Linked DNA regions of Caenorhabditis elegans. The protein of the gene in region 1 purifies or fractionates together with the protein of each later gene. This does not show direct contact. Each region holds a gene or a part of one and is shown on either strand. Other genes may lie near its edges. The genes, in order: F47B8.8 and txdc-12.1.

Region 1 (16,446 bases):
CTGGGGCTGCTGGAGCAGGTGCGGGGGCAGGAGCAACCTCAGGTACTGGAGCTGGTTCTGCTGGAGCGGCATCTGGTGCCGCAGCCGGAGCGGCTTCTGGTGCTGGTGCTGGTGCTGGAGCTGGCGCTGGTTCTGGTGCTGGAGCCGCTTCGGGTGCTGGTGCTGGAGCTGGAGCTGGAGCTGGGGCGGGTTCTGCTGGAGCAGCTGGAGCAGCTTCTCCTTCAGCATAATCACGAGCTACTCTTCTCTTCTTGGCTGGATAAGATCCGCCACCGGCGGGTGCAGCCGCAGCGGCATATCCTCCAGCGTCAGCTGATGGTGCAACAGGTGCGGCTTCTGGAGCTGGAGCTGGAGCTGGAACTGGTTCCGGAGCTGGTGGTGGAGCAGGGGCTGCATCGGCAGGTGGTGAAGATGGTGGTGCAGCTTCTCCTCCACCACCTCCACCACCTGAGTAACCACCACCTCCTCCGCCACTTGAATACTGACAGTGAGCAGAAAAGATTAAAGTAGAAACAGCGAAGATCAGAAGGAGATTCATACCTGGAAATTAATATTTAGTTAAATAATCTGGAAATCCCAACTCACTTGATGAGGAATTAGAAGGTGAAATGATGCCGTTCTCGATGATTTTCTGTTTATATACTGTTTCGCCTTCCAATAAGAACTTGATTTTGTTGTGAAAATGAAAGTGAGAAGTTGAAAATGTAATAAAATTGAAGAAGCTAAACAAGGAAAACAAACAAATCGCTTCAAAAATTATTGCAGGCTTTGTTAATTTTATTTTTGCAAAGACACTGAAAATTGAAGTTTTTTTTTTGAAAATTGTGAAAACAATATTAACTTAAAGATCTTCACGAATTGCAGGATTTTTTTAAACTATTTATTTGAAATTCCTAATATTTACGCCGACAAAAATCACTGTCAAAATTAAACATATACATTCTCATATGTATCACTTCTTCGGTTCGAAAGATTGCAAATCGTTCTTCCTTTATCAGTGTCTTCACGAAATGCATAAATCGTTCGTAGTGTAAATTATTAGGACCCGTTTCTGATAGATGAACTTCTAAATTAACTTGACAGAGTTCTATTCCATTTCTGTCAAAACTTCCGTCTTTCTCGAAAATTTCAAAAAGATCGTATTCGGCACCTTCGGAGTCCATCCACAAATTGTCAATTGTCTGAAATAATAGTTTTTGAAACTTAGAAAAGTTTAAAACCATACCTTCAATTTTAAAAGCCTTTCCACAAAATACATCATGTCTACATGAATAACACTTTGATTAAAATATTGCCCTGAAAATTTGAATAATCATCTCAAATTGTATTTCAAAACTTTCTATTTATCAAAACACTGGCCGTGGCATATCCTGGATTTTTAGCAACTGCAAATGGAAAATATTTTCCTATTTGTGGGTATAAATGTTCATTCACTTCAGTCATTGGGTCGGCACCGTAGAATTCGACGGTTTTTCCGAGTTTTCCCATTTTCTGCAATTTTGGCTCAATTTTCCAAAATATTTGTCAGTTTTTTTTTTTCAAATAAAAACACACCCTTTGCCATCTTTGCTCTCCAGTGATGTCTTTTCCAATTCCGATGGTTACAAATGTGTGTCTTTCATCATTCTGGAACTGAAATTAGTGTTATTGTTTTGTCTTGACACGCTCAAAAAGTACTTTACTGAACTGATTTATTTTGGAAATTTTTGTATATTTTTTCAATTTCTCTTTTTGACTTTTTATTTCCTTTGAAATTCATCAATTCCCATCTTACAGGAAATTCAATGTAACCAAAAAATCTTTTTTTTTTCAACTTTAAACTACAGTGTATTTTTTTTCTATACATTTTTAAAAGATGGCGAATTCATTTAAATAAATAAAGCTTCTCCAATTTCATAACTTCTCATTCACCTTTTCAAAATTTTCGATTCCTATAAATAATTTCCATTTCCCGCTTAAATCAGCCGTTGCTTTTTTCCTTCTGTTATAAGTTTTATGTTCCACGAAAAATGAGGCAAGCCTTAGAGATAACATCTCACTGTTTCAATGTTATCTGATCTGTTTTCTATGCACCTTAGCATAACCTGATTCCACGTGTTGTGATCATACGGTTTTTCAAAAAAATAAAACTCACATTTTTCGGCAAAATTGCAACTTTATCCTCATCCTTGTTTTTCAGAGTGATGAGGCCAAGCTTGTCGATTTCAGCGTCTTCGTCGCATTTTTTGGTTAACTTTGTAAATTGAGTCCAGAACTGAAAATAATTATTTGGAAAGTGAATTTAAAAATGACTACTGAAAATTGTTTTAGTAAGTTCACTGAAACATTTCAGAAAGTATTTCAAAATGTTTCATATTAAACTAAAAGTTAAAAAATGTAAAAAAATTGATTTTCTAGCTGAAAATTATTTTTAGTTATTTTTCAACTTTAATTTGGAACATTTTTAAAACTTACTGTATTTTTGAAACAGTTTCATAGATATCATTACAGATTTTTTGTTACTTTAAAAAAACTTTCACTATAGCCTTTTACTATAGACTATAGCCACATACCTGAACAGGATCATCAATAACCAAGAGGCTCCACTTTGCACAGTCCAGCCATTTCTTAAAAATTTCCTTCTTATTCGCGTCCATAAAAACTGTTTGAAGGTCTTCTTCGTCTGCGGCTTCTTCTCGAACATCTTCCTGAAAATTTCTATAAAGTTTCAATGTTGAACCGTTTAATTGATATTTAAAAAAATAAAAACTTTGTTGGAAGGCTCAAAAGTTTTGAAAGAATCTTACCAGATAAGCAATAAAAACTTTGTAACAAGCTAGAAATAATGTGAATAAGAGCAGAATTTTAACACATCGTTGAACTTTATTTTTCGTCGTTTTCATGAGAAACTGCGACATTTGGGAAAAAGATGTGTGGATAAGAATTCCGTTGCCAATTCCTACATATAAGCTATTGTATGGAGAACGGAAAAAGGGGTGGAGATTATAGGGGAAAACACATTCAATATTGATTCAACATTAGATTGAGAAGTTCAGGTGAACGAAAGAGATCAACAAGGAATATCAAAAGTTCGGATTATGTGTGTGCCATTTTCACGCCTTTTTTGGGACTTTTACAAAATTTTAAACAGAAATTGACATCCGGTTTTGGAAGATTTTTATAACCTGGAATTTTTTATCCTTATCGATCAAGAAATGCAATTCTACGGGACTGAATATAATGGAAAATACGCTGAAAGCATTTTCTTCAACAATTTCAGGGTAAATTTTATTCAGTTTCCTTGTCTCTCTTGTCTACTTTCTTAATGAAAAACAAATTTATTTTTTTGATCTTCAATTTTTTTTTAAATTTTAAAGGATATTTTATTAGCAGCCTCGCGATTGTTTTGGCAGTTTTTCGCGATTATATTCATGAAGGCGTAGGGAAGGTTACTGTGTATGAGAACCGTCTCTCAAGTCGTCATTGTTTAAGAACTGAATGATTTCTTGTCAGAAACTCAAAAAAATTAGAGTGGTATTTCACCCTACATTTGGTAAGTGAGAAAAACTTTATGTGGAGAGTACATCTTGTAAGGAAGCGTCGAATCCATTTTTAAAAATTATTCGATTTTTGATGTATTACAAAAAACATTTCGGTCAATCCTTTCAAAAGTTTGGCAATAAGCCGATCTGCAAAATTACAGCCTTGGGTAAGGACTTGTCGTAATCTTGGTAGACTACATAAAACTTTTTTTCAACGATGTGCCCATGCGCCCACCACTCTTCCGTATTTCTATTTAGTTTGAACATATAGAAAAAGATAATTGACGTATTAGATTTCTCTGATCTTTGTAAAAGATAATTTTTTCTCAATTAACAACATTGATGACGTCCATTAAATCCTTACAAAGTGTATGCGATATGTCGTTTGCTTTCCTTTTCAGGCTACATACGCTTTTTTTCGAGAGAAAGTTATCTAAACTGAATTGAAAAAATTAAAAGAAAGCTGTTTTCAAAAATTGAGTTTTCGCGATGTTTGCATTGTCAAAAATTCGAATGTCCAAAGTATTCAGTTATTATTGTTGTTTTTGGTATTGTTTTTGATTTACCAACAACCAAAAACCAAAACTGCCTGCAATCTTTTTCCATTTCTCTTATTTTGTTGCATTACCACCAACAAGTATTTCTCACACACATTTTCAATCGTAAACGCCTTCTCATTTCCATCTATTCTCATTTCAGTTTGACCTTACAACTAAAAATGTCAGAACTTCTTACTACGTACAGGCCAATTAAAATTCTTCTCCAACTTGATCCCAATCTGGGAAATAACTCATACAATGGTAGAGTAAAAATCGATTACGAGTTCACAGGAGAAACATCGGAGATCAAAATTCAAACATCTAGAGATTTTCAGTGGACTTCTGTCAGACTTGCCACGTTTTACGATTTCAATGAAGGATGTCCTGTGTGTAAGTTTTTAAACTTAAGTCTATTTAAAAGATTTGAATCAGTAAAATTTTGATTAATGTTGAGCAATCAACGTCCAAATAAAAAATGTTTTTAAGGCAGTCAACCTTTTTGGTAAATTGCCGAATTTTTCAAAAATGTGGACTTTTGTTTAAATATTTTTCCAAATTTCAGATGCAAGTGTTGATTGTGAAAACTATGTCCATGATGCCGAATCAGAGATACTGACTCTTCCATTGGGAAACCCCCTCACTCCTGAAACTACTGAAAATGGATTCTACATTGAATTAGAATGGACTGGACCTATAAATCCTCAGGGAGAAACTACTGGACTTTATGCAATTGATGAAAGTACTATTGAAGCAAATATGAAAGATGGGAATGCTCATAAAGTATTTCCATGTTATGAGGGAGGAGTTTCTGCAAAGTTCTGGCTGACTGTGATAACTGATGAAAGAACTAGAGTTGAAACTAATATGGTATGCTTTTGGAAAAGCAGAGTTTTGATTTTGATAAATGTTTCAGGATGACGCTGGGCACGAAGAATTCGAAGGAAGAGTGAAGAATAACTTTTTAAAAGAAGAAGAACTTACTATTGAAGATGTTTACATTTATGTCACACCAATTATCGATATGGAATAGTGTTTCCAATTTTTTTTGAACAATTAATTTACCGAATCAATGAATAAGTTTTTTTATTCATATATGTATGTGTTCCCTGGATGTTTCATAAGTATGACAAATTTACTAAATGTTCACGTGTGCTTGGGGGGTACGTATCAAGAAGTTGCTAGTTTCCGAAAATTTTTGGACTTGGCGTTTTTTTCTGATTTGTTAGGGGTCTCGAGTTAATCGTCCTATGTGGGTGAACTTCATAAAAATATTTTTTCTGCCTCTTCCTATATTAAATCCTGAAATTGCATTCTTGACAGAAATAAAAAATAAGGGCACGTTGTCGTAATGGGGTGTCCCGAGAAATGTGACTGCACTTTGAGAGCTTATATCTTGGCTTAGGGTTGGCGGTTTCTTGAGCAATTTGTTTCAATAGCTTATAAAAATAGCGCCTTCCATCGTCATCATTGTGGGGGAGCTTTTGGGAAGGCTAAAACACTGATTTGAGCGGAATTCTGGAGTATGGTCGAAATGGATGTATTCTTTGTACTGACGAATTTCATGTTTTTTCAGCCCCAAATCTTCAGTTTTTCTGACATTTGGTTCCAATTTGTGCGCAAGAGAGAACTTCGTATTTCCAATTTTTTGAAACTATTTTGAAAAAAATTGGCGCACTTTCCAAAATGTAGGCCATCATTCAATTTTTGCAAAATCAAAAAGATTGATTAAACGTGAAAAACTTTTCTACCACTCTCTCTCTTTCTCTATTTTTGGTGATGAATTCGATAATTTTCATTTCTTATTTTTAATAACGTGAGGAAAACTCAATTTTGAAGACTTTTCGAGATTTTTACTTTTTCCCTAATCTAATTGAGGGCCGCACTTTTTGAACATGTTGGCTACTTTTAACCTGACTTCCAGCAGGACAGGCTGGAGGCCTGCAATGCTATTGTATTTCACTCAAACCCAAAAATCAGGGATTAGGGCCACCTTCTTACTCTTTGAAACTTTAGGCCTTTTCTATCCCTACACCCAGCAGAGCAGGCTGGAGGCCTTCTCTGAGAGGTATGTTTCTATAACTACGTATGTTTTTGGAAAAGTAATGAAAAAGGTCACCTAGGTCAGTTAACCGGATTGAGGGCCAGAGGCCCGAATACACAAAACGTATTGGACAGCCGTTAAGCCTATACTGAGCCCAAAAACTCGAGTTGAGAGCCACAGGCCCGAATACACGAAGAAGTGTTGGAGATCCGTCAAGCCTATTCTTAGCATAATAATTCAGTTCGAGTGTCGCAAGCCCAAATAGACGCAGATGCGTTGGACAACTGTTAAGCCTATTTTAAGCAAAAAAATTTGAAAAAATTTTTATTTCTAAAATTAATATTAAACTAAATTTGGCCGGTCTTGACAAACTTCAGCACATTTACTTGGCATTTACTCAACACTTGACTAAACTTTAGCGAATAAAGCGAATTATTCTTGAGTTACTCTACGCCGAACTAAACTGCGAAGCCTAGCAACTCTCCGATTTGCTAGTCAAGATAAGTTTATAAATTCAAAACAATGGCATTGAAATGTTTTGTTTATTTTTTTTCTGATTTTCCGAGGAGAAAATATTTACAAATTCAATCGATGTTTTTTCATTTTTCTCTATCTCTTACGGGTGCACGTGTTCCTCCTACAAACCAGTTTTCACTCGTATCAAACTGTCGAGGCCGTCTCATTTCTGTCATTTATTCTCTGATTCTATTGAAATATGTCGGAACTTCTCACCACATATCGGCCGACTAGATACATGCTCCAACTCGATCCAAATATGGCAAACAAGACTTACTGCGGAAAAGTGAGAGTCGACTATGAATTCACTGCAGAAACTTCGGAAATCAAAATTCAAGCATCAAGGGATTTTCAATGGACTTCTATTAGGCTGATCAATTTTTACGCTGTATACCTGGAATGTCCCATTTGTAAGTTAATTTAAATTTTGAAACGGTTTTTTTTTTGGTTTTTTTCTCAATAGTAATTGTGCTGAAAAAATTATGGACTCAAATTTTGAATTTCAAGACATTACAAAACAATACAACTTCCCAAGTTTCAGATGCAAGTGTGTTATGTGACGACTATAACCATGATCTGGAATCTGAGATTCTTACACTTTCACTGGACACACCGCTAACCCCAGACAATACACAAAATGGATTCTACATTGAATTAGAATTTACTGGACCCATAATTATTGCAGGGCAAACTACTGGCCTCTTTGCGGTTGATGAGAACTCAATTACGGCAAATATGAAAGATGGAAATGCACATAAAGTTGCACCATGTTATGAAGGTGTTGCTATCAAGACCTGGCTGACTGTGATAGGTGGTGAAGGATCACAGGTAGAAACTAACTTGGTAAGGATTTCGATATCTTCAGCACATTAAAAAAAAATCAATTTCCGCATCAAACAAACATAATCCTATTTTTGTATATTTTTCAGAATAGCGATGGACAGGAAGACTTTGAAGGTCGCGTCAAGAAGAACTTCATAACGGATGAGGAAATTACTATTGAAAATCTATGCATTAATGTTTCTAATTTTTCTTGAAACATCTTTTTTTATGTGAATAGATTAATATTTCTAATTTTTTCTACCCCAATTTCTATTTTGCCATAAAGATTTTCCAAGTATTGGAATTCCGATTTTATTTCAGTTATATCACAAGAAAAATAGGAAAAACAATTATAGCACCAAACAAAGCAAACACCAGATTATTCGATATCTGCAAAATCCGGAAGTCTATTCAAGGTGGGCCATAGTTATACGGACTACTTCTCTTTTCATAGAGGTGAATAATCTAGGTTAGAATATACTATAAATCATCAAATAATTTGCAGGCATAATTTAATAAGATTGAGAAAAATGAAACCAAATTTGCGTGGTTCATTTTGATCAGCATGTGACTTATTTTGTTTCTTTTTCCATTTTAATAGCACACATTTTTGAGAATCTATTTAACTTGTTCCACCACGCAGTGTAGGCGTAACAATTTCAAAGACAGCCAACCTCGTGTGATTCAGATCTAATTGAGTCAAAGCTCGAGGTAACTGAATTTTCAGACCTCCGATTTTCCATGTTCCGAATAATATTTTCAAATGCGTAATAACATCTGATTATTATTATTATTTGTTTTCGAGCCATTTTTCAGCAATAAATTTTTATCAGTTCCTCATTTCGGGTAAGTTTTTTGTTTTAAATTAAAGTTCGAAACACTAAACTTTAAAACATTCAACTTGCTGATTATTTGTCTGCTCTTGTGATTTTGCACTTAATTTTATAATGGTATGTATATAAACATAATAGAATTTACACGTAATAAGCAGAATTTATATCAAATAGAATAGCATTTAACATCTGTCATACCAATAATCCATAACACCCAATGACTTCTACAGCTCCCCCGGAAAGTGAATCTTCGGATGACATTGGTCCACCTGCGGAACTTGGTCCGATTATCCGTAGTTATCACTTTTACAATGATCTGGTTGCCGGTGTATTAAGCATTATGCTCAATGTTCTTGTGATATTAGTATTTACTACACGGATATCAACTGCTTCAAAACTATTCAAAAAAGTGATGACAGTTACAAAACTTGTCGAGATGTTGTTTAGCGCAAGTTATATTTTGACAGCTCCGGTAAGTCAACTTCTGATGAGTAACGGTGATGGGTGGCATTTAATCAAAATAATGTATTGTAATTTCAGGTATTCACATCAATTTCGGTCGATGATTCATTTACTGGTCTTATGATTGTTAATACTGGGTGGCAATTCAATTTCTATTATAGTCAAATTGTTCTTGCCGCGGCACTTGTTTTTCTAACTCAACAAATTTTTCTAGCCCCTTGGCTTTACTACATTAGATATGATCAAGTTTGCAAGTATGTTTTAGATGTTCTAACTCAATTTACAAGATTGAAGTTATTTTCCAGAAAACATGGTGTTAGATGTATCGATTTCTTAAAAATGCTAATTATCAATTTAATTTTTCAAGTTCTCACATCAGTGAGCCTTTGCTTTTCGTCTTTCCCAACTAGTAAGGACATAACCGAGCTTCAATTTGTTGCCAATAAGTTTACTGGTTCAAACTCTGCATTTCTTCTTTTATCATATACGGTTGAAAAACTTTGAAGAATAATAAAACGGGTTTTTTTTTTCAGAAAGAAGTGGATACTGTCAGGGAACAGATTGAACACGTCGGATCAATAATGTCTGCGGTTGCTTACGTATTAACTTTAATCTTGTCAATTTTGGTCATGATTTTGTGCACGATAAAAATCAATTTAAAAGTTCGAGAATCAAAAAACTCAAGTAACAATTTATTGGTACTGCAGAAGAAGATGAATCGAGTTTTATTGGCACAGGTAATCCTTTAGATTTTACTCTATATTCTTTAATTTCAACATTTTCAGTTCTTCTGTCCATTAATATTCATTCAAGCTCCATTCTACTATTCAGTCCTTGGTCCGATAGTTGGACTTTCCCAAGGCCTTGTTACAGACCTTCTCCCTCTCCTTTTTGCCTGGTCACCTGTTGTAAACACCCTTTTTATATTCATTCTAAATTCGGAAATTCGAAATGCATTGATCGGAAAACAACATGTATCAACTTCTGAAGTTCGGTCATTTGCAAATAAAAGCTGATTCTAAATCAAAAAATCTTTTTTTTCTGTATCATTTGCGTCTGTGTTTTTGTCTCTTAACATTGGGTTTATTTGTTTGTTGGTTTCTTACCACATTTCTGGATATTTTTAATAAATCGATTTATTTGTGAATATGTTTTGTCTTACAATTAAATCTTTTGCTCAAGACATCGACAATTTTTCGGTAGGTTTTTTCTAATAATGAAGCAAACATGTTACATTCTGAAGTGCTCACAAATTGGCGTTGAACTAAATTAAATTTTTAAAATATAATTTTAACATAGTCTACATAGTTGAAGAATAATTCCAATTTATGTTGTGTTGTAAGTAGCATTTTATTTGTGACTGATAGTGAGATCAACTATACAACCCGGTTAATATCATCACCCAGTCAGTATAGATGTAACACATTTGCTAGTGGCATGAGTCAATGGAGTATGTTTCCCTTGATAATTTAATTGTCAGGTGCTGGATTAAGTATCGAGTATTATTATTTGTATCAATATTGGAAACTCGCGCCAATTATTCGTTTGCAGACTCACATTATTGAACTATGAATTTTGAAAAGTTCTTGTTTCCTCCACCGCGTAAGATTTTTTTTATTGAAATAAATGAAACTTTAAATAAGGAGCTTTTACATTTTTATTTCCAGCTCTACCTGGGAATAGAACATCAATGCAGCTGGGGCCACCGTCTGAGCTTGCACCAGTTATCCAGAGATATCATTTTTACAACGATCTTATTGCTGGAATTTTAAGTATCACAATTGGTAGTTTGCTCATTTTTCTAGTCACAACTAGAATTTCAACGCCCACGAGATTATTCAAGAAAGTTCAAGCAATTTCAAAGTGCACGGAGATTTTGTTTAGCGCGAGTTATATTCTGACAGCTCCGGTAGGTATATTTTTAAGCCGTTCAGTTTTCATTTGTTTTTTTTTTCTGAAAATTTTTTAGGTATTCACATCAATTGTAATGAACGATACATTTTCTGGTCTAATGATTGTCAACACTGGATGGCAATTCAATTTTCATTTCAGTCAAATATTTCTTTCAGCAGCTCTATTTTTACTCACTGAGCAAATATTTCTAGCGCCATGGCATTATTATATTAGATATGCACAAGTTTGCAGGTTTTCCTCAATTTTTGTGCTTCAAATATTAGAAAATATTTTTTCAGAAAGGGCGCCGGATGTATTGACGTATCAATTATAGTTGTTTTGAATATTATTCTACAAATTCTAACTTCAATGAACCTATGCTACGCAGCTCTTCCGACTAGTGAGGACATACAATTACTACAAGAGATTGCAAATAAGTTTACTTTATCATATTCCGCATTTCTTCTTTTGTCTTATAAAGTGAATAAACGGAAAAAGTATAAAATAATAGATAATATTTATTTCAGAAAGAAGTGGACTCTGTTGCGGACTCTGTCGACAAAGTTCTATCGATTATTTCAGCAGTTAGTTATGTATCAAGTCTAGTATTTTCAATTTTTCTCATGATATTTTTCACTATTAAAATGAACCTCAAAATTCGAGAATCTACAAATACGAGCAGCAATTTGCTAGAGTTGCAGAGGAAATTAAATAGGCTGCTTTTGGCGCAGGTTAGTAAAACAGTTAGCCAAAAAGGACTTCATAGAGGGAAACGATTTAGATTTTAAAAATGTTTCCCAAATTTAAAACAATAGAAAATTTCAATAATGCATTTCACGGTGCCGCCATTTACGCTCGCCCGCCGGTCGCCCTCAATAACGCCTCCGAAAAACATGAAATATATAATTCTTATTTTCAGTTTTTCTCCCCATTAATATTTATTCAAGTTCCATTCTACTATTCAGTCCTTGGCCCAATTGTTGGACTGTCGCAAGGCCTTGTAACAGACCTTTTCCCTCTCCTCTTTGCCTGGTCACCTGTTTTCAACACATTTCTCATTTTCATTCTAAACTCTGAAATCCGAAGTGCTCTCATCGGAAAACAACGTACGTCCACAACATCTGATGCTCGACGATCAGTTGGTGGTAATCAAAACTGAATCGAAGCAAAATAAAAATATCTCGGAATCCCAACTGAATTGGTGCGTTACTCAGTATCCCTGGTTCTATAATTAGTACCTATTGCCTCTTGTCACAAGCTTCTATCTCACTCCGTAGACTACACAACAAGAGCGTCACTGAAAGAGCTGTTATCGCTTTCTCCTTATTCAAATTATCTTTCAATTCTCTACTCCTCTTGTCTCTCGCGATTCCCTTGTGAGATCTTCCCCGTGCTCATTAGTCATGTAAGCATCTGGAGTCTGTGCTCAATCTCAATCCAAATGAGCTTAAGTTAGTGATCTGTGAGCCCATTTCATTCTAATTATCGATTATCAATGGCTATTCAAATCCTGAACGGCGCCTCTCCAGAAGTTGCAACAACTACCGCAATTTATGCATGGTGGAACAATGTCGCAGCCTGTTTAATTCTGATTCCATTGATCTCGATCTCAACATTCATTTTGCTTAAAGGAAAAACTATTCTGAAGCATATGAAATATGCTATTGGAATCTACAAATTACTGGATGTTGCATTCAGCGTTCTTTTTGTTCTGGCATGTCCGGTGAGGATTAATTTTTGACAATTGTGTTGCTCAGTGCATTTCAAAGACTGCTATGTTAAATTTTTAATCTATATTCTCAATTTCAAAAAAAAAATTCAACAAAAAAAAAACTAGATTTGGATGCCTAGTAACGCCCTAATTATAATTCATCCGTTTGGAGTGGAGCGTAAGAAATCACGATTGCCATTCATTTAATACTACCCCAAAAGTTAGAAGAAATGCGTGTTCGGATATATGTTTGAGCCCTGTAAAATAGTGTAGGGTTACGGTAGATATCATCTTGTGTTAGCTGTTGATTTGCGACAGAGACTGGAAAATAGCAGGCATTGACAGAGTTACAAAATTTCCTTCCTGACTCCTACCTAAGCCAGTACTTACTTAAATGACAGCATGATCTTTTTTTAAAATTTCTCAACTGAATTAACCATGAAGGTTTTAGTCTTGAATAATCCGTATATTCGTAAAACTTTTTCAAAAGGAATCATAACAACATTTAATTTCAGATATTCGTCGCTGTTGAAACTTCCGATGGTTTTGAAGGTTTAATGATTGTAAACGCTGGAGTTTCAATGCCAGCTGTTCTGACCATGACTCTTTTGATGTTTTCGATTGTTCTCCTAACACAGCAGATTTTCTCATCACCCACTATTTATTTCATCAGATACCTGCAAATTTGTCGGTGAGTTATTTTATTTTATTTTAATATGGAAATTGATAGTTTCAATTTAAAGAAGAGGAGTTCATCCTTCGCATGCAGTAATAATTATTATCATCAATCTGTTTTTCCTCTCCCTCAGTTCGGGAGTTCTTTGTTATTCTTCATATCCAGTAATTGATGACGTCATCAATCTGAGCGGAATTGCTGTGTCCTATGTTGGACATGAAACTTCGTTCCTTGTTCTTTCAGTTGATGTAAGTTTAAAAGTATTTTTTTTCAATTCAAAAACAACTTATGATTTTAGAAAACAGCTACTTCGATATCAGCATACGTTTCCAGTATCACGTACGTCTCGATACTGCTAGTAGCCGTGGTGGCTATGATATTTTTCTACTTTAAAATCAACTCTAAAATGAACTCAAATCTTAACATGAGTGAAAATTTGAAGAAAATGCAGAAGCAAGCAAATCAGATTTTGACTATGCAGGTATTACGAATAGATTTTTAAGTTTAAAAATTTTAATTTTTAGTTCATATTGACACTCATCTTCATTCAACTTCCATTCTTCTATTCGGTACTTGGTCCATTGGCTGGACTTTCTCAGAAACTTGCCACATATCTTCTATCAATTCTTTTTGTTTGGGGTCCCGTTATCAACACAGTCAGCATATTCGTCTTCAAGACAGAAGTTAGACAGAAATTCTGCGGATGTTCAAAAGAAGTTGAAACGACTGTGATTAATGTAGCCGACCGTTCGGCTATGAAGCCTGATATGTAAACGTGAATTCTGATGGGTTTATTTATTGCTATATTGTATTCTGTTTTATTGTTTGATGGAACAGTTTTCCATCTGGGAATAAACATTTTTCAAATTGATTCACTGCAACACGTTTTCCTTTCTTGTCATCAATCCTTTCTCAGGGGTGTTCTTCAACAAATATTTTAACTTGCCAAACTCGTTGATAAGATATCAGTGATATAAGATCGTACTCGAAACGTTTGCATTCTTTAGGTCACACGTTCCTGAATGCAAGGAATTACGTGATTTTTCCACAACTTATATCCAATCAAAGAAGTTTTTGATCTGCAAAAAAAAAAACAGTTTTATTGTAAACTAAATACTTGAAGAATGCAACTTCCTATTTAAGAATTCAAACCAAGTTCAACTAACGGCGTCCGGGTACCACTGACAAGCCCTAGCCTAAACCTACGCCTAAGCACAAGACTAAGAAATAGTCTAACTCTAAGCCTAAGCCTACGTCTTTGCCTAACTATAAGCAGAATACTGAGTACTAATAACAATCAAAGTAGGGTTAAAAAATTTGACTTTTGTTCTAATGTGTTTCTAGAAATGATTTTCCTCCTGATATTTTATATCGTAAACTTTTATTTTTGCTAATTTTTCGATTTTTTCCCAAAGAATGTACCTAGATTATGAAAGTTTTTGTACCCAATTGTCGCAAAAAAACTGTGTAAACAATGATGATAGAAATATGTCATAAATTATACGTCGTCACAAGCAGCTGGTTAATATCTAAACGGTCAAAAACTAATATCATCTACTCGACGAATTTGGCGTCGGATTCTCACGAAACGTCGCATTTTCCCACGAAATTTACCATATGACTGCCGAAATTGCGTTGTTACAGTTTTATGCCCTGTGGTTTCTTTTTTGTTATTCGTTAATTATAAAACCGGAACAAAGTAACAATTTTATAGATTTTCAGTTGTTTTGTGTGCCGATTAATTTGGGAACTTTTCGGGGAAACACCTTGGGCGTGTGATCTGAAATGTACAGTACACGTCAACAGAATGGTTTTGACTGAAATTGAACGGCGATGATGAAGTGACGAGTGTCAAGTACAGGTTTTTTCAGGTTTCCGAAACGAAAATGACGAAGGATACAATTTTTGAACTTGGTGATTTCATAGAAAATCAATCACTTGTTTATATCCGAAAAAAATGAAACTGATATGAGCAGGGTTATTGAAAAGAAAAAGTAAAGTACATATAACCACAGATTGCAGGTCAAGGATTGTTTTGAAGTTTCTTTACTTTTTTCATGGCATTTAAAATACACACTGCTAATACTTGGTTACTTCTTGCCTACGTGCATTCTTACGCAAAGTTAGAGATTTTGTGTATGCGTTGATTACAATAACTGTTCCTGCGTTTCCTGCATGCATTGGTGACCGAAAGTTAACGCGTTTTTGATTTTTGAATAAGTTTTCTGGACTTTCCATCGAGTATAACTCAAATCTAGGTTACATGACAAATTTGGTAACCACCATCTTTCAGGCCATGGCTATCAAAGGTCAATCAGGATAAAGAATCGGCGACTGTAGACTACTCGTGCTTCTAGATTTGGAACTACAGTGTGCTCTCCGTAAATTAGTTATAAGAGAAAATTCAAAATTACCATTTTATTATTTTTCACCTTTAACCTGCTGATCACCATACTTTTGTTTGTTGCGAACTTTCAAAAACCAAAAAGAAATCAAAAGATGATATTGGAGAATCAACGTCATGTAGTCCTACATTCTCCTTCCAAACCACCCTCACTTTTTGCATATTTAAATCCCGAATTAATGTCTGATTTGTTTTTGTTTGTAATCGTCATTTACTACAACCGGCTCACAATTCATAGTACAAAAGGAAAACGATCCAACGTCTCTTTTTGTACAGTTTTATCAGACTTTTTTTCAACAATGGCAAAAGTTGAAAAGCGGGTAAAATTTCATCAGTTTTTTTTTCCGTTGGTTTGCCACTGAATTCGTTGATAAAGTTAGTTAGTTGGTTGTAGTTGGTTGCGTCAAAACGTATTTCGTTATTCAAAAATGAAAACAAGAGGGGCTTAAAAATGCAGTTTCTCAGCAACGTCCTCGAGCTTTTAAATTTTAAAACGTCGACAAAAATCAAACTTTCCCGAAACTGCTTCTGGCAGGCAGCCAATATTTTTTATCTTCAAAAGCTTCTAGCCTACCTGTCAAAGTTAGGCATTTTGTGTGAGGTTCTCATTAAAAATTAATCTCTAAATAATTAATTATCGTACAAACTGCACGATTTTTTTCAAATCCAAGATTTTTTCACAGTTTGGGGCTACAAGCCAGTATTTGCAAGAAGTTTAACCTATTATTTCTTGAATAAATTATCGGCCTCGATGAAACATCATTAAAGCTTTCCAGCTCTACCAACAAGGTGCTTTAATTAAACAACATAAATTCAGACTACAACTTCATTCATTCACTTCATTTTCATTGAATATTTTCATTACTTCATTCAGACAACGTACTGGTTTTCTAACAAACGGGATCTGGAACATTGAGTTTTCTAGAACCTACCTTCACGCTTGAAAAACCGAGTTTCTGGTGTGAACCCGTTCTTTTCTGCCAGACAATGTTTCCCAAACAAATTCTTACAATTCACCTTTACCTCCT
Region 2 (17,166 bases), on another chromosome or scaffold:
TTGGGTCCCACCACGAAAATTTCCGGGTTACTGTAGGCTTTCGTGGTGGAACCCAAAAAAATTCAAAATATGCTAAACATAGGCAAGCCTAATACAGTGATAATAGTAAAAATTGAAAAAAATTGGGTCCCCCCACGAAAACCTGCGGGTTACTGTAGGATTTTAGAATTTCTCTTTTTTTTTAATTTTTGATGAAATTTTCGAGATCAGTCGTCCGGGAGCTTTGATTTAAGTATAATCATAACCTACTTCCGTTGATTTCGAGAAATTTTGGGTCCCACCACGAAAACCTCCTGGGTTATTGTAGGCTTTCGTGGTGGGACCCAAAAAAATTCAAAATATGCTAAACATAGGCAATATGGGGCTCATTTGAAAGCTCTCCACAAGCCTAATACAGTGATAATAGTAAAAATTGAAAAAAAATTGGGTCCCCCCACGAAAACCTACGGGTTACTGTAGGATTTTAGAATTTCTCTTTTTTTTTAAATTTTTTAAGAAGTTTTTGAGTTCAGCCTGCCGAGAGCTTTGATTTAAGTATAATCATAACCTAATTCCGTTAATTTTAAGAAAATTTGGGTCCCACCACGAAAATTCCCGGGTTACTGTAGGCTTTCGTAGTGGAACCCAAAATATTTCAAAATAAGGGGAGCATAGGCAAAATGGGGCTTATTTGAAAGCTCTCCACAAGCTTAATACAGCACTAATAGTAAAAATTCAAAAAAGTTGGGTCCCATCACGAAAACTCCCGGGTCACTGTAGGTAGGATTTTAGAATTTCTCCTTTTTTCAAATTTTTAATGAAATTTTTGAGTTCAGCTTGCCGAGAGCTTTGATTTAAGTATAATCATGACCTACTTCCGTTGATTTCGAGAAATTTTGGGTCCCACCGCGAAAACGCCCCGGGTTACTGTAGGCTTTCGTGGTGGAACCCAAGAAATTTCAAAATAAGCGGAGCACAGGCAATATGGGGTTTATTTTGAAGCTCTGAACGAACGCAATACAGTGCTAATAGTAAAAATTTTAAAAAATTTTAAAAATTGGGTCCCACCACGAAAACCTCCTGGGTTACTGTAGGCTTTCGTGGTGGGACCCAAAAGGGCTAAAATAGGCCGAGCCTAGTCGATATGGGGTGCATTTGAAAGGTCTCGACGAGGCTGACATCATGCAAGCAATGAAATTTGTGTAAAATGTCAAAAAAAAATTTTCTGAGAAAAAAATTTTTTGTTAATTTTTTCAATTTTTCAGCGGCGAAGTCGACGACTATCAATTCTACTTGGCCGAAGAAGACGGCGAAATCGAACACGAGCTCCCACCACTGGACAGCTCGAAGCTTGTAGGCCAAGTAGGCTTCACGTGCCTCGGCCTAGTCTCACGTATCAAGAAAAATGGGAATAGCCGTCAAAAACGGGCTGTGGCTGTGTGGTTTGTCGATAAGGATCAATATGTGATAGAAGTTGATAATATGGAAAAACCGTTGCGATGGCTTAGAGATGAAGCTTTTCGTCTCAGAGAGGAGACTGTTAAGGAGCGAGAACCCTTGTTTCAGGGGCTACTTGATATAAAAGGTGCCTAGGATTTTTGAAAAATCTGGTTTTTGCTAAATTTTTCAATAAAAATCGTCGAAATCCCGTCGAAAAACGTCCAATTTTGACGTTTTTTTTAAAGAGCGGGGGCGTGGCTTTGGAGACTCCGCCCCTTTATTGGCTTTACTATTTTTTTGACAGCCTTAGTAGTTTTTTGACTTAATTTTGGCAATTTCAGAGAAATTTTTTAAAGATTTTTTTTCAGGAAAAATTCAAATTTCTCAAAAAAAAAAAACATTTTTTTCAAGAAAAAAAAAATTAAATTTTTGGCAGGATTTTACAGTTTTTTGTGAAAATTTTCGAATATCGCGGAATTTATTTTTAGAAAACCAAACATTTTATCCAAAAACTGCTAAATTCGACTAAAAATTAACTTAAAGCTGTCCACGCGCCGCAGGTTTGCAAAACTAGGCTCCGCCTCTTTTTCTGTGCGGCACTGCGAAATTAGCAGCTTGACCGGGATTTTGAATTTTTTTTCTAAAAAAAAAACAAAAAAAATCAATTTTTTCTAAAAAGTTTTTCTGAAATTTTTTGTTAAAAAAATACAAAAAAAAATAATTTAAATTTTTTTATTTAAAAAAATCAATTTCTTTTGTAAAAATAAAGAAAAAATCAGTTCTTTTTCCTAAAAAAATCAATTTGAAATAAAAAAATACATTTTTCTGGAAAAAAAGTAATTTTTTGCAAAAAAAAAAAACCGGACAAAAATCGAAAAAAATTTAGTTTTTAGAAAAAAAAGCGAAAAAATCATTTTTTTTGTTTGAAAAGCAAAAACCGTAAAAAAATAAATTCTTTTTCCTAAAAAAAGCAAAACAAAAAATCACTTTTTTGTAAAAAAAATACTATAAAAATATCAATCTTTGAAATAAAAAAACGAAAAAAAAGTAAATTCTTTGCTTTAAAAAAATTTACAAAAATTAATTTTTTTTCAGAAAAAATTCCGAAAAAAGTAAAAAATTAAAACTTTCTTTTTCCAGAATACTACATGGAAGCCGTTGACAATTTCGACGTGAAGCTTGACCTAGAAGCCAGTATCTCGAGTGCTCGGAGCCTCGAATTCGTGATGATCCGAAAAAACAGCTCAAGAGCCGGATTCCATCCACGTGGCGGCCGATACGGTCGACAAATGAGCGCAATGCTCACTCTGAAAATGCCGAATAGCCCAATCGCGGCGGGACCCATGACACCATTGCCAACGGTAATGGAGGAGAGCCCGGCGGTGGCAGGCACTTCCAATGGATTCGGTTTCCCTAAAGCTGAAAGTTGTGGGGCAATTGGTAAATGCTCGATTTTTTGAAAATTAAAAAAAATCTTACAGCACTTTTTTTCGAGTTCTCTTTTTTTCGAATTTTCCGGTTTTTAAATACATTTTGCATTGAAAAACGGTTTTTTTTTTCGGAAAATTTTCCGATTTTTCAACGAAAATTTGTGAAAAAAACCGCTAAAAATTGGAATTTTTGCAAATTTTGTTTAAAAAATCGGTGTTTTCTTAATTTTTTTTTTGGAATTTTCAACAACATTTTCTAAAAAAAATATGAAATACTCTCCATTTTTTTTCGGATAATTCCCTGAAAAATGTGAGAACGAATTTTTTAATTGTTAATTTCAGAAAAATTTTTTTTTTTAAATTTTTTAAATTTTTTCATTTTTTCATTTTCCACAAATTCTATTGCCTGCATCGTGCCAGGCTTGTCAAGAGCTTTCAAATGCACCCCATATCGACTAGGTTCGGCCTGAATTACCCCCACTTTTTGGGTCCCACCACGAAAGCCTACAGTAACCCGGAGGGTTTTCGTGGTGGGACCCACTTTTTTCAATTTTTATTATTAGCACTGTATTAGGCTTGCCGAGAGCTTTCAAATGCACCCCATATCGACTATGCTCTGCTTATTTTGAAATTTTTTGGGTCCCACCACGAAAGCCTACAGTAACCCGGAGGGTTTTCGTGGTGGGACCCACTTTTTTCAATTTTTATTATTAGCACTGTATTAGGCTTGCCGAGAGCTTTCAAATGCACCCCATATCGACTATGCTTTGCTTATTTTGAAATTTTTTGGGTCCCACCACGAAAGCCTACAGTAACCCGGAGGTTTTCGTGGCGGGACCCAAAAATTCTCAAAATCAACGAAAGTAGGTCATGATTATACTTAAATCAAAGCTCTCGACAAGCTGAATTCGAATTTTCGGTATTTTTTTTTTTTAACTAACGGTAGAATTTTTTGAGAGAAAAAAGTTTTCAAAATTTTTTTTCGAAAAAAAAAATCTGCTTTTTTGTTAAATTTTTCTGTCAACAATGTTAAAACTCTGAAAAAATCCAACCAATTTTCCCTTTTTTCAGCTTCTACACCAGGAGTGACATGGAATGATGATGGAGGCCAACTTTCTTCGTTTATTGTGCAACGAATTCACAAATTTAAGCCAAAATGGAAGGCAAACCTGAGTACGGTGGTTTAAAACTGTTTCAGAATTTTTTTTTCAAAAAAAAATGTAAAAAAATTGTTTTTAATAAAAACAATTTTCTGTGAAATTTTTTAGGTTCGAAAATGCCAGAAAAAAAAAAGAAAAAAAAATGCAATAATTACAAATTGCTAACAAAAGCTTTTGAATTTTCTGGAATAAACACAATTCGATTTTCAAAAAAATATGGAAATTTTTTTTTTCTAAAATTGGGAAAAAAAATTATTTTTTAGGGTCGAAAATGCCTGAAAAAATCAGAAAAAAATTACAAAAAGTGCAAATTGCCAAAGAAATTTTTCAGAATAAAGTTTAATTTTTTATTCAAAATTTCATTTTAAGCTACGTTCAAAAATGCCAAACAAAATTACAGAAAAAATAGGAAAGATCACAAATTGCCAAAAAACATTTTTTGAGCATTTTCCGGAAAAATTATGTTTTTCAAAAAAAAATTGGGCTTTCCAAAAATTGCAAAAAAAATCATTTTTTAGGTTTAAAATTAACCAAATTGCTGAAAAATGTTTTCAAAACAATTTAAAATTGATTATTTTTTGAAAAATGATTTTGCGGAAAAAACAGCATTCGATTTTTCAAAAAAAAAATTAAAATTTCCAAACAATTTTTTTGAAGCATTTTTTAGGTTCAAAAATGCCAGAAAAAATCAGAAAAAAAATTACAAAAAATTGCAAAAAATTTTTTTTTGAGCATTTCCCGGAAAAATAATTTTTTTTCCAAATTTCAGAAAAAAAAAACTCAAAAAAACTTATAAATAATTTTCAGTATTCCGTTGGACATGCTTCGAAATCGAAAAATATCGTGAAGATAGATCAGCATTCCTACCACAAGGATATCAAAAGCATACAAAAGTACCATGGGAATATGTTGGCGGAGTCCGTACACAACTGAAAGATGCAAAAGCTGGACGAGTTGACATGTGGCAGATCACATTCTTCTGGTTACCGGTTCTCAGTGATGAAACTGTGAAAGATGTTATTGGAGATGCTGAATGGAATCTTAATCTTGTTGCAAAGGTTTAACAAATTGCTGAAAAAAACTAGAAAAACAGTGAAAAAAAAATTATGTTTTAAAAAAATTTCCGAAAAATTCGAAAAAACATTTTTTTTGTTTTGGTATTTTCTGTATTTTTCTTTTGAATTTTGGACATTTTGCACTAAAAAATAAAAATTATAATTGCAAAAAATTCATCAAATTTTTTTCTTAGATTTTGTATTTTCTGAGAACAATTTTTTTACCTTTTCGTTTTTTGAAAAAAAAAATTTCCCGGAAAATTCTAAAAAAAAATATTTTTGGCAGTTTTTTTTCTTTTTTGTTTGAAATTTGCACATTTTCGAACCTAAAAAATACAATTTTAAATAAAATTGTATTTTTTATCTAATTTTTTGAAAAAAAAAACTTTTTTTCGAATTGTTTTTTTTTTTTGAAAAATCGAGTTGTTTTTTCTGCAAAATTATTTTTTTATTGACAATTTTTAATTTTTTTTTCTGAAATTTAGTCATTTTAAAAGCTAAAAAATTAATTCTTAAATTTAAAAATGCATTAAAGTTTTTATTTTCAAAAACTAATTTTTTTCAATTTTTGGGAAAAAAAATTAAAATAATTTTTTTAAAAACAATTTGTACTTTTTTCTTTATTTCGTCTAAAATTTTCACATTTTCAAACCTAAAAAATACAATTTTAAATAAAAATTTAACAAAATTTTTTTTCGGTAGATGTAACCTTTTATTTAATTTTTTTTTTTGATAAATCTAATTGAATTTGTATCCGCAAAGTTATGGCAATTTTTATTTAAAAAAAATTTTTTTCTGAGTTTTGGTCATAAATAATGCATTAAAAGTTGTATTTTCTTTTTTCAAAAACAAATTTTTTGTACTTTTTGTGAAGAATTAACATTAAAAAAATGATTTTTTACCGGAAAATTCTAAAAACCATTTTTTTGGCAATTTGTACACTTTCGTACCTATAAAATACAATTTTAAATTAAAAAAAACCTTTTGTTAAAATTTTTTGAAAATTTTTTTGTCGGAAAATGCTCTGAAACTTGTAAATTTTCGAGCCTAAAAAAATACAATTTTTATTAAAAAAAATTATTTTCCAAAATTAGTAATTCGGAAACATTGCAAACTAAAAAAAGTTCAATTTCTTCCAGATCTACGCAAATGAAGAAAAATGGCGTAGCGTTACACTCGAGACATTCTTCAAACAAGACGTCGACGAGATTTTCAGCCAAACAAATTCGATACTTCAAGCCCGCGACGCTTCGATCTACAAAGCCTTTTCACATTCCTCATTCGGTACTTTAAGCCCCGCAGCGAGTGCTGATTTAGCTCTAATGGAAAGTGCCGAAGCCATTGTTTCACCGTCGTCAGATGCTCCAAGTCGCTCCTCAAATGGGAAAAATGGAGGAAAATTTCGAAAAATGTCGAGCCTGATGGCCAGTGTGATGGGAAGACGAAAATCTGATTCTAAGTAGTTTTTTTTTTAGGTTTTTAGGTTTTTTTGTTTTGCTGTGATATATATTTTGCTTTAATAGTGTATTTGAAAAATTGATATTTTTTGTAAAAAAATTCCAAAAAATTGAGAAAAAAACATTTTCGGAATTTTTAATTTTTACAAAATTCTAAGAAATTTATACCGGAAAATGTTGAAAATCTAAAATCACTTTTTTTTGTTTTGAAATTTTATAAAAATTTTCAAAATTCAAATTTTCAAAAATCACTTTTTTTTTGAATAATTCGGAAAATTTGGAACAAAAAAAAACAAATTTTATGTTTTCATTTCGGCAAATTTTAAAAAATTCGAAAATTTTTTAATTTTGGTTATTTCGGGAAAATTACGATTAAAACATTTTTTGAAAAATATTTGAAAAAATTCAAATTTTACGATTTTTTGGATATTTCGGCAAGTTTTTTGAAAGATTCGAAATTTTTAATTTTGGGCATTTCGGAAAAATCACGATTAAATTTTTTTTTTTTTAGTATTTGAAAAAAAATCAAATTTTGCGATTTTTGGATATTTCTGAAAAAACTGAAAATTTTCGAAAAATGTTGAAATAAAAAGTAATGTTTTCTTATTTTCGGCCACATTTTGATATATTTTTTCCCCTAAAAATTCGAAAAACTCCCGATTATTCTGCATTTTCCTGTAAAATTTACGATTTTAGGAAATTTTGAAAATTGTCAAAAAAATTCCAAAAAAGTTACGTTTCAAGATTCGAAATATGTTACAAAAATTTTTTAAAATTGATTTTTCTTATTTTCACCCAAAAATTCGAAAAAATCCCAAAATTTGAGACAAAAACCCAATCAAATTGTGATTTTCTTGTTCATTTTCCGGAAAAATTTATTTTTTCAAAAAAAAAAAAAATTTGTTATTCCTAAAATCACTGTACCTCTTTTTCCTATTCCACCTCTATATTGTGATATATCAATCAATTTTCTTCAATACTAATACAAATTAATATTCCACATTTGTGTGTGTATGTGCAGTTCTAATTAACATATTATCAATTCATTTTTCCCATTTATTCCACTGCCCCTGCTTCACTTCTTCATACTACCCTCCTACCGTACACCGTTAGCCGACGTGTACAATTCACATTCTGCTTCCTTCTTCTTCTTCTTCTCGGAATCTCTAAGAAAAAAAGCGAAATAGTATGGGATAACCGGAGAGACGGCAGACAGAACCTGTTCTGTCTTCCAACTCATCGGTGAATTTGTGTGTGTTGGAGAAGGAAAGAAGGAAGGATTCCAATTGCCATTTCCGACTTTTCATTCCATTTCACATACACAGCTTCTTGTTATGTTTGGATTTTAGTTTTCGAGTAATTTACTAATAATTTATTGGGTTCTCATAACGTTTATTCAAATAGGAACATAATCAGATTGAATTTCAAAGAACGCAGTTACGTAGAAAAGCTATCTTCAATTTTAATAACTTATTGGGTTCTTATGTATTATAACCGAATAGAGTCATAATTACATATGTTTTCGAAATATGTAGATACACGGGTGGGTTATCTCCAATTTTAATGCCGTAATTGTATTAGGATTTATCAAAAAACGACAGCTAACACTATATTTGTTAAATCCTATTCACACTATATTATATTAGATTAATACTGATTAAGTTGTTCAAAAATGTGATGTTACGTATTTCGAATAAAAATCTAATTATATGTGGCCTAATATCGACAGCTAACTAGATACGGGTTATATATTTAGGTTATTCTCGTAATACCTTATCATGTATCTTAAAAGGGTAGTAGAGTTTGTGGGTATTTTGCTTAAATAGACTACAACTGGTCCAAAACCACCGAATTTCATAATGAGACTTCCCAAAAAATTTCCGAAAATGTTTTATGGTCCGCCAAAATTTCGAAAAAAAAAGAGTCAAATCTTGCTAAAATCTGAAATTTTGCACACTTTTCTTAGTCACAGCCGCTGGATTTTAGTCTTTCTGAAATTATCACCATTTAATCCTTATTTTGATAATTTATCCTGCGGAATTTTGTTGATTGAGACAACTTTTAGACCAATAGGCATCCAAAAATGATCAAAATTGGATGCCTATCGGCCTAAAAGTTGTCTCAATCAACGAATGAGATAAATTACCAAAACAAGGATTAAAAGGTGATAATTTCAGAAAAACCAAAGTTCAGTGGCTGTGACTAAGAAAAGTGTGCAAAATTTCAGATTTTATCAAAATTTGACTCTTTTTTTTTCGAAATTTTGACCGGCTATAAAAAATTTTTGGAAATTTTTTGTGAAGTCTCATTATGAAATTCGGTGGTTTTGGACCAGTTTTAGTCTATTTAAGCAAAATACTTACAAACTCTACTCCCCCTTTAATATATTTCACGACATACATACGTGAATAACTTCTTTAGTGTTGCTCTTTAATTATGTAGTATACTTAAATGCATTTTATTAAAAATCGTCAGTATTTAACAGTATTGAATTGTTCATACTAATAAAATCAGACAATGTTTGACGCAAATAAAATGAAGCAATACATGTTTTTTACTTTGTCAATTAGTTAGTTAGTTATGAACATTGTAACTATACAGTTTACAAGCAAACGGGTTAATTTTTCGTGAAAGTAATTATTTTCAATAACGTTATTAAAATTATATATTACTAACTTTTATATGGGAATCATCCTAACCAAGAAAACTGTTTAAAAAATTGTAAAAACCCTAATTATAATTCATAAAGTTATTAAAATATACATCGATCGAAATATAGTAACCACCACCATTTCTAGAATGCATTACCAAAAATTATGTGCAAAATAGTAATGTTTTATGAGACTTCCAACAAAAAAAAATTGAATCACCGAATCATGTTTTTGCTACAAAACATTGTAGTTGCTTTTTGAATTTTTCGTTCTGCTTCATATTTTTTTCCAGACATCATTGATATAACCCTTTTTATCTGCAAAAACTCATCAAAGCACCTTCTTTATGGTTTCTGATCACCCCTCCATAGATACACCGAGATCCTTATCATCGGTACGACCTCGACCGTTGGCTAGTTTTTTGCAGTTCGATAATGACCTCAATATCTTGATCTGTTTCTTCTTTTCTCCATCATTCGTCATACCTTTCACTTTTAGAGGTGGTTTTTTATACAGCTTTTCTAATACAAAGGATAGTGATATTAAAAAATTCTAGTTTTAGATTATTAACAACGGGATTGCATAGAAAAAGTTTCTTTTTCGACATTTTTTCGTAAAACGGGCATTAAATGAATAACACAACAATTATATAGTTCTGTTATAAAACAACAAGTAGTATGTTTTATAACAGAACTTTATAATCGTTGTGTTTTTATAACAGCAATGGCTTTTAAACGCTGGAAAAAAAAGGTCACAACAGTTCATTTTCAAGCTTAGTCTTAGTCTTAGTCTTAGGCTTAGGCTTAGCCTTAGCCTTAGTTTTAGGCCCGGGTTCAGGCTTAGCCTTAGGCTTAGGCTTTGGCTTAGTCTTAGGCTTAGTCTTAGGATTAGTCTTAGGCTTAGGCTTAGGCATAGGTGGGGCTGGGGGATTATTTTAATTTTTTTTTTTGAAAATTATCAGAAATTTTTTACATTCAATTAAACAAATTGTAGTGAATATTTTGAGTTGTGTAAAAATGATATTTTTCACAACAGTAATAATATTTAAATTATACATATAAACCACATTAATAACGTTTTTTTTAAGTATCTGATCACTTTTTTTTGCATGCTAAACTTATATTTTCTGTTTAGTATAAAACTCCATCCAATTCCCCGTTGTTCCAGATGAGATCCCTTCTCCTCTTGGCACTTGTGAGTGCGTCGGCGTACGCGAGTTTCGACAAGATCAAGGATTCTATTCAAAACCCATTGGCACGTGGATTTGGTGACGATATTGCGTGGGTCAAGTGGGAAGATGCAATTGAGACTGCTTTGGATACTGATAAGCCAATCTTCTTGTTGATCCACAAGTCTTGGTGCCATGCTTGCAAAGGTAAGAGCGGCAGTTGAGAAAATTTAGGCAATTTCTTATAATACGTGTGGTATCACACTGTCCCATCACGGTTTGATCTACAAAAAATGCGGGAATTTTTTGCTCTAAAAATGCGACGTCAGCAGGTTCTTAATCATGCGAAATCATTTGAGAACTCTGCGACTCTTCTCCCGCATTTTTTGTAGATCTAGGTAGATCAAGCCGAAGTGAGACACCCTGACACCGCGTGATTGATTACATGCTTCACTAATAATTTGAAATTTAATCATTTTATTCAACAAGTTAGTCCAATAGAGCGCACATTCACATGTCCCTTCCCCACTGCAGCTTCGATTTTCTCTCCGGGTAACCGACCAAAGACAAGAAAGGAGAGGGATTTATTCATCCTTGACACACTTTTTTTTATTAATTCAAAGAATGGTGTCAGAACACCTTGTAAACCACAAAGCTTGTACATATAGTTTTCAAGGGAAAAATCGGGAAATTCAATTGATATTTTTCGAAAATTGCAAAAAAAAACGTGCAAAATTTTGAATTAAGAAAAATGCACATTTGTACAAATTTTGGGAAATTCAAAAATTTTCACGTGATGGGACCCGTGTGTGGGCGAACCACAGTTTAAATTTGATGTAAAATAATATTTATAATTTTTATGACTCAACATTTGAAACTTTAAACATAATTGTATTCGTTTAAAAATTTGTGAAAAAATTGAAAATTGGTTTTAAAAAATTTGAAGTTTAAATATTTCAAGTCCAGAAAATCCAATGCGAGAAAAAACCTCAAAATTTTTTTAAAAATTCCAAAAATTATATAAAAAATTATTTTAAAGCTTTCAAAAATTCAATAAAAATTCCAAACAAATTCCACTAATCTGAAAAAAGGATAAAATCTATTGGGGTCCTAAGCCTAAGTTTGAGCCTAAGTCTAAGTGTAAGGCTACGACTAAGCCTAAGCCCAAGCTGTAGCTTACGTCTAAGCCTAATTTTTAAATGTTTCAATTTCGAATTTTCAAATTTTCCAGCTCTCAAGAAGACCTTCCAACAATCCAACGCCAAGAAAGCCTTCAAAAAGCTCTCAGAGCACTTTGTAATGGTTAACACCGAAGACGACGACGAGCCATTCGAGGAGGAGTACCGTCCAGACGGAAAGTACATTCCACGTCTGCTTTTCCTCGACAAAAATGGAGATCTTCTTCAAGAATTCAAAAATAAGAAGGCCGAATACAAAAATTACGCGTATTACTACTCATCACCAGCTGATATCCTTAACTCTATGAAGGATGTGCTTAAACATTTTGGAGTTGACATTCCAGAGGCTAAGAGAGGTGATAAGCTTAAGCCAAAGAAGCCAGAGGGAAAGAAGAAGGAATTGTAAGAATAGAGATTGTTTTATTGATTTATTGATTGATTTTCAGCTAATTTATTTCTTATCATTTCTTTGCCAATCTTGTTAACTATTATTAATTATTATCACGAATAAACTGGTTCTCGATACGTCGGTTTTTACGAAAAATTTAAATTCGCGCCAAAAACCTTTTCGAAACCTCGAAAAAATTTTAAAAATCTTATGAAAATTGCATTTTGTGCCTGAAAATTTTTAGCCAATTTTTTAGAAAAAAAAAAAGTTTTAGGAAAATCTGTGACATTTTGAAAAATTCAGGAAAGTTTGAAATTCCAGCCAAAAAACTTTTGAAAACTAATTTTTTGAAAAAACTAATTTTTTGAAATTTTTGAATTTTGCATTCATTTGAAATTGACTTAGGCATAGGCTTAGGTCTAGGCTTAGGCTTAGTCTCAGGCTTAGGCTCAGGCCTACGCTTAGACGTAGGCTTAGGCTTTGGTTTAGGCTCAGGCTTTTTTCGGTGATTTTAGAAAATCTGAAAAGCTTTTTGAAGTTTAAATCTGAACAAAATTTTTTTTGTTTGAAAAAATTTATAATTTCATGAATTTTTGAATTTTGCTCTCGATAATTGTTTAATTTAAAAAAATTCAAAAAAAATTTGAATTTTGCCACAAAATAGGAGATTTAAAATACACCGCCCACATATTGGTTCAAATCTAAATCAAGGCTTTCATGGGAGGCAGGCGCGGTTTCAGGGCCTGACGCCTGTCTGCCCGCCTGCCTTCCGCCGCGGCCGACACTTTTCGGGTTCCGCACTATACAGAAGGCCCGAGGCAGGTGAAGGTCGCCGCAAGGTAGGCACACCAGGCCTTTTGGCGCCTACATGGAAGGATTAATCAAAACCAGTTTCCTAAGGGATTAAGAAACTTTCTCTCCTTCCCTATATTTGAGTAGTTATGTAAACATCCTCATATTCAGAATATGTCACGTCTCTTCTCCAATGTTCCGAATTATTTTCCTCTTATACATCGTCGGGTCATTTCTCTACCAGCAATATGAATTCGCAGTTTGAATTTCGAAATTTAGTTCTAAATTCCCAATTTCTTTGGATTTTTCTAATAAATCTTATCACCTCTGCCAATTCTGAAGCCCTAGCTTCTCCTTATCAGTATCTGAAGGATCTTTGCCCTGTTGGACAGCTTCCACTAACGGATACGGAGCACGTGAAGACGTGTGCAAGCTTATGTCCTCTTGGAGCATTTTGTCATAGGGGTATATGTTGTGTACCGCCACCGCAGTGCAGGCATCCGGCTTATAGGTGAGGAAATTTTTTTTTGAATTTTGTGTTAAACTTCGCAGATTATATATTGTTTTTTGAAAACAAATAATTTTATTTTACCGCCAAATTGTTTTTAAATGTTTTCAAATATTTAAAATTGGCGCCAATTTTTTTTGAAGTTTTTGGAATATTTAAGTTTGGCGCCAAAATTGTTTTGCAATTTTTAAATAATTTAATTTGACGTCACAATGTTTTAAAATTTTTAAAATATTTAAATCTGGCGCCACTTTTTAAAATTTTTTTTAAATATTTAAAATTGGCGCCAAATTTGTTTTGCAAGTTTTTAAATATTTAAATTTGGCGCCAACTTTTTTTGTTGATATTTTTGAATTATTTAAAATTGGCGCAAAAATTGTTCTGAAATTTTTTTAATATTTAAAATTGGCGCTAAATTTTTTTTGCAATTTCTAAAAAATTAAATTTAGCACCATTTTTTGAAATTTCTTTTAATATTTAAATTGGGCGCCAATTATTTTTGTTGATATTTTTGAAATATCTAAATTTGGCGAAAATTGAAATTTTAAAATTTCTGTCAAAATTATCAAAAAAAAAAATTATATCAAAAAAATTAAAACTTGAAGCTTGCCCCAACTATTTTAAAGATTCAAAAACTGAAAGTCGCGCCAAAGTTGCTAAAAATCTGAAATTTTGAATTTCGCGCCAAAAATATTTGAACTCAAACTTCAGGATGTCTACCGGCTTTCCATGTCTTCCAAAACGTAAGAATAACTGCCCAGATGGATCATTTTGTGTATCAAGTAGTCAGGATGGAATGTCGATATGCTGCTCAAACAGGAGCATTGAAAAGTTGGTGATTTTAAGCTCCGCCCACTTCTTGGTTTTCTGGGAGAAGAAGACCATTCTAAAATAAAAACTATAACTACAAATAAAATAAATCCATATTTTTACAGAAGTTTCCCGATAACATCACAATTAAAACTCTCCAAATCTGCACCGTTCCCAAAGGAAAAGCCGATGCAAAAATCCACGTCATCACTGATGACGTCACTAGACTCCTCCCAAATCTGTCCGAAATCCCATCCAATTATTGCACATGATGGGAAATCTCTGGTTTTGTGCAAGGATTGTGTTCAGGGGTTAGTTTTGGACTGCGTTTTAAAAATTAAAAAATTTATTTTTAAACGAAAATGTTACCTAAACTCGAAATTTACAATTTTTGCACCAAAAAACTGGAGAAAAATTTTTAGTGCCCAAAAAAATTATTTTTGAACATTTCAAATTTTTTTAGATTTTTCAGAAAGTTCACATAATATTGAAGATTTTGATTTTGTAAATTTGAACAAAAGCATAAAACTGTTTGTATCACAAATTAAATTTTTTTAACATTTGAACATTTTGGGTCCCACCACGATAAGTTTCAGAACCGATATTTTCCTGGAAACTGTTATAGAAAAAAAGTAAAAATTCAGATTTATTTCGGGGTACCCCGAATTCAAACAAAATATCATAATATGAAAAAAATTTTTAAATCAAACGTTAAATAATATTTCGAATTTTTGGGTCCCACCACAAAAGCTTTTTTGCCGAAAATTTTGTGAAAAAAATTGGCAAAATTGTATGTATGATGCTTTAAATTTAACATTTCAACTAATTTAAAAAAATTAAATTCGAAAATTTTTTTTTCAAATTCTATATTTTCAGAGTTTGCGCAAAATTCCGCACCAGTAACGTAGAGGTATGCTGTCAAAGTTCTGACGATATTTGTGGTGTTGGAAGTCAAATTTTGATGAATGGATTGGTGCCGAGGGACTGTAACAAGAAGCCATGTGGGATGGGGTAAGTGAATTTTACAGCTCAAGCCATGCTCTTAAAATAGCCAGGAGCTAATTTTTTTTGCTCGAAACTTTCCGAAAAACATCTAAAACTTGGAATCAATTTTTTGATTTTTTGAAAATTAAAGTTGAAATTTCACAAAAATTTTTAAACATTTTCAGAACTTCTAAACTAAAATTGCACCGCAAATTTCAAATTTCCAGCTACGAATGTTCGCTAACCCCGACGGGTCTTCGTGTATGTTGTTCGTTAGCCCAATGCCCGTCAGGAGTGTTTGCGAGAAGTGTGTGCGCAGCCGGATGTTTGAGAAATGAAAAGTGCATGGAAATTCAGAATGAGATGTGGTGTTGTCCATCCGAGGAATCATTCGGTTCAAGAATTGAGATGGTTTGTAGGAATGGGGAGAATGGGTAAGTTACTACATTGTACTGTAGTACTGTATACTGTATAGTGTACTGTTGGGGTACTGTAGCTCAGTTTCCGTTTGTCAAAAATTATCAAAAAATTTAATTCAGTGTTTATCATCCAGAAAATAGCCTTAATATACCGAGTATAACTGTAGAAAAATTTATGGAATTTCTCTAAATTTTTCTAAATTTTTAACGATTTTTTTTCAATTTTGCAAAAATATTTGATTTATAACACTAAAAACTATTCAAATGCCAGAAAATGGAGCCGTAATGACCAAATATATCTGGAAAATTTTTAAATAAATTTTCTAATTTTTTAAAATGATTTTTCGTCAATTTTTAAAAAATCTAAGAAACGGCCGAATTAAATTTGAATTCCCGCGCAAACCATATATTTCGGCCGTTTTTTAAATTGTTGAATAATTGAAAAATCATTTTAACAAATTCGAAATTTTTTTATTAGGTGCTTCTATTGAATTTTTCTACAGTTACATTCGGTATATTGAAACTATTTTATGTCATTTAGAGCAAAAAAAACTTCCAAAAATTTTATTTCCTCGAGTTTTTTTAAAATTTCAAATGTACTTGATTGTCTAGATTACTGTAGAAATGCTTATGACTCAATTACAAAAAAATCCCAGTATTGATTCTTATTCCAGAACCGGTGAAAAATGTGACCCAGCTTTTCCGGCGTGCTCACAAGGAGCATTTTGTGAGCTGAACAAGGAGAAGACCGCCCATATTTGCTGTAAGCGGTATAAAAATCGACGTGAGTATTTTATTGCTTAAACCTATAAAAACTAAAATTCAAGAAAAAAAAAAATTTCAGTCGGCAACAGCCGTAAAACCCTTCTACCCCCTCCATTCTACTACACTACAACTACTATGAAGGCTCCCATAACCATAGCCACAACTACTGCAGAACCATACCCTTTTGAATCTGTGTAGGTTGCTTAATTAAAGGCAAAGTAGCGCCAGAGGGGAAAGTGTTTAAAACTACTCCATTGGTGTCAAAATGATCGAATATCATTTTAAAAAATTTCAAAAAATTTTTGAAATTTTTTTATTTATTATCAAAAAGTGACAATTACTCAGTTTTTGCCACTCATAATTTTGGAAGTCAACCAAAAAAAAATTTTTTTCTACATTTTTTATACTGTAATTTTTTTTTAATTATTTGTATTAAAAAATTGTAGGGGTTGGAACATGCGAAATTGCTTTGGATTTCCTCAAAGGCTCATATTTTTCAAAATGTTTGCAATTTTCCAAAACTGACCGGGAATAATGAAAAATCTAAAAATTTTTGGACTGTTTGTTAATGATATTTGGTCATTTGAAATAATTTTAAGTGTATTTAGACACAATCCCCACTGGCGTTACTTTACTTTTAAACCATCAAAGGTATCTTAATCATATCTTAATATTTATTACAGTCCAAACTGCCAAGACCCTGAAGCCCGTCCACTCATGGAAAACGGCTTCCCATACATTTGTGATCATATCGGAGATCCGTGTATTCTTCGATCAGGATATTCGTGTCAAGAATCTGATATTGATGATGTCTATGTGTGTTGTACTATTCAAATGAACCGAATCCTTCCACCACAGATTCCAATGATTGGGCCATTTACGTTTATGACGTCATCAACTACTACAACTACTGAGAAGCCGATTGAAGAGGAAGAAGTGATTGCGCAGCCGACATGCCCATTTTCATATATGCCGTCGAAAA

Evidence for each region.
Region 2: the proteins of F47B8.8 (region 1) and txdc-12.1 fractionate together in Caenorhabditis elegans (co-fractionation; one large-scale study listed by BioGRID). This does not show direct contact.

Annotation. Positions count from the first base shown.
Region 1 is NC_003283.11:14,324,927-14,341,372, forward strand, and holds F47B8.8 (Aminopeptidase N-like N-terminal domain-containing protein), read left to right. Parts: upstream 1-6,747; 5' UTR 6,748-6,816; coding exon 6,817-7,027; intron 7,028-7,158; coding exon 7,159-7,460; intron 7,461-7,546; coding exon 7,547-7,654; 3' UTR 7,655-7,741; downstream 7,742-16,446. Other genes in the region: F47B8.18 (Skin secretory protein xP2-like), read right to left, coding at 1-538; F47B8.5 (Methyltransferase FkbM domain-containing protein), read right to left, coding at 894-1,181, 1,226-1,296, 1,341-1,491, 1,555-1,632, 2,135-2,254, 2,553-2,687, 2,787-2,897; pepm-1 (Aminopeptidase N-like N-terminal domain-containing protein), read left to right, coding at 4,240-4,450, 4,623-4,927, 4,974-5,090; srm-4 (Serpentine Receptor, class M), read left to right, coding at 8,490-8,744, 8,813-8,988, 9,040-9,223, 9,268-9,471, 9,520-9,750; srm-5 (Serpentine Receptor, class M), read left to right, coding at 10,303-10,336, 10,402-10,643, 10,704-10,879, 10,927-11,107, 11,155-11,358, 11,547-11,786; srm-6 (Serpentine Receptor, class M), read left to right, coding at 12,123-12,350, 12,854-13,029, 13,082-13,262, 13,313-13,495, 13,539-13,787.
Region 2 is NC_003280.10:12,230,049-12,247,214, forward strand, and holds txdc-12.1 (Thioredoxin domain-containing protein), read left to right. Parts: upstream 1-10,339; coding exon 10,340-10,547; intron 10,548-11,571; coding exon 11,572-11,924; 3' UTR 11,925-12,037; downstream 12,038-17,166. Other genes in the region: sinh-1 (Stress-activated map kinase-interacting protein 1 homolog), read left to right, coding at 1,245-1,564, 2,560-2,859, 3,921-4,022, 4,817-5,067, 6,204-6,527; Y57A10A.24 (EB domain-containing protein), read left to right, coding at 12,947-13,209, 13,918-14,037, 14,142-14,327, 14,893-15,027, 15,228-15,434, 16,094-16,203, 16,264-16,378, 16,868-17,166.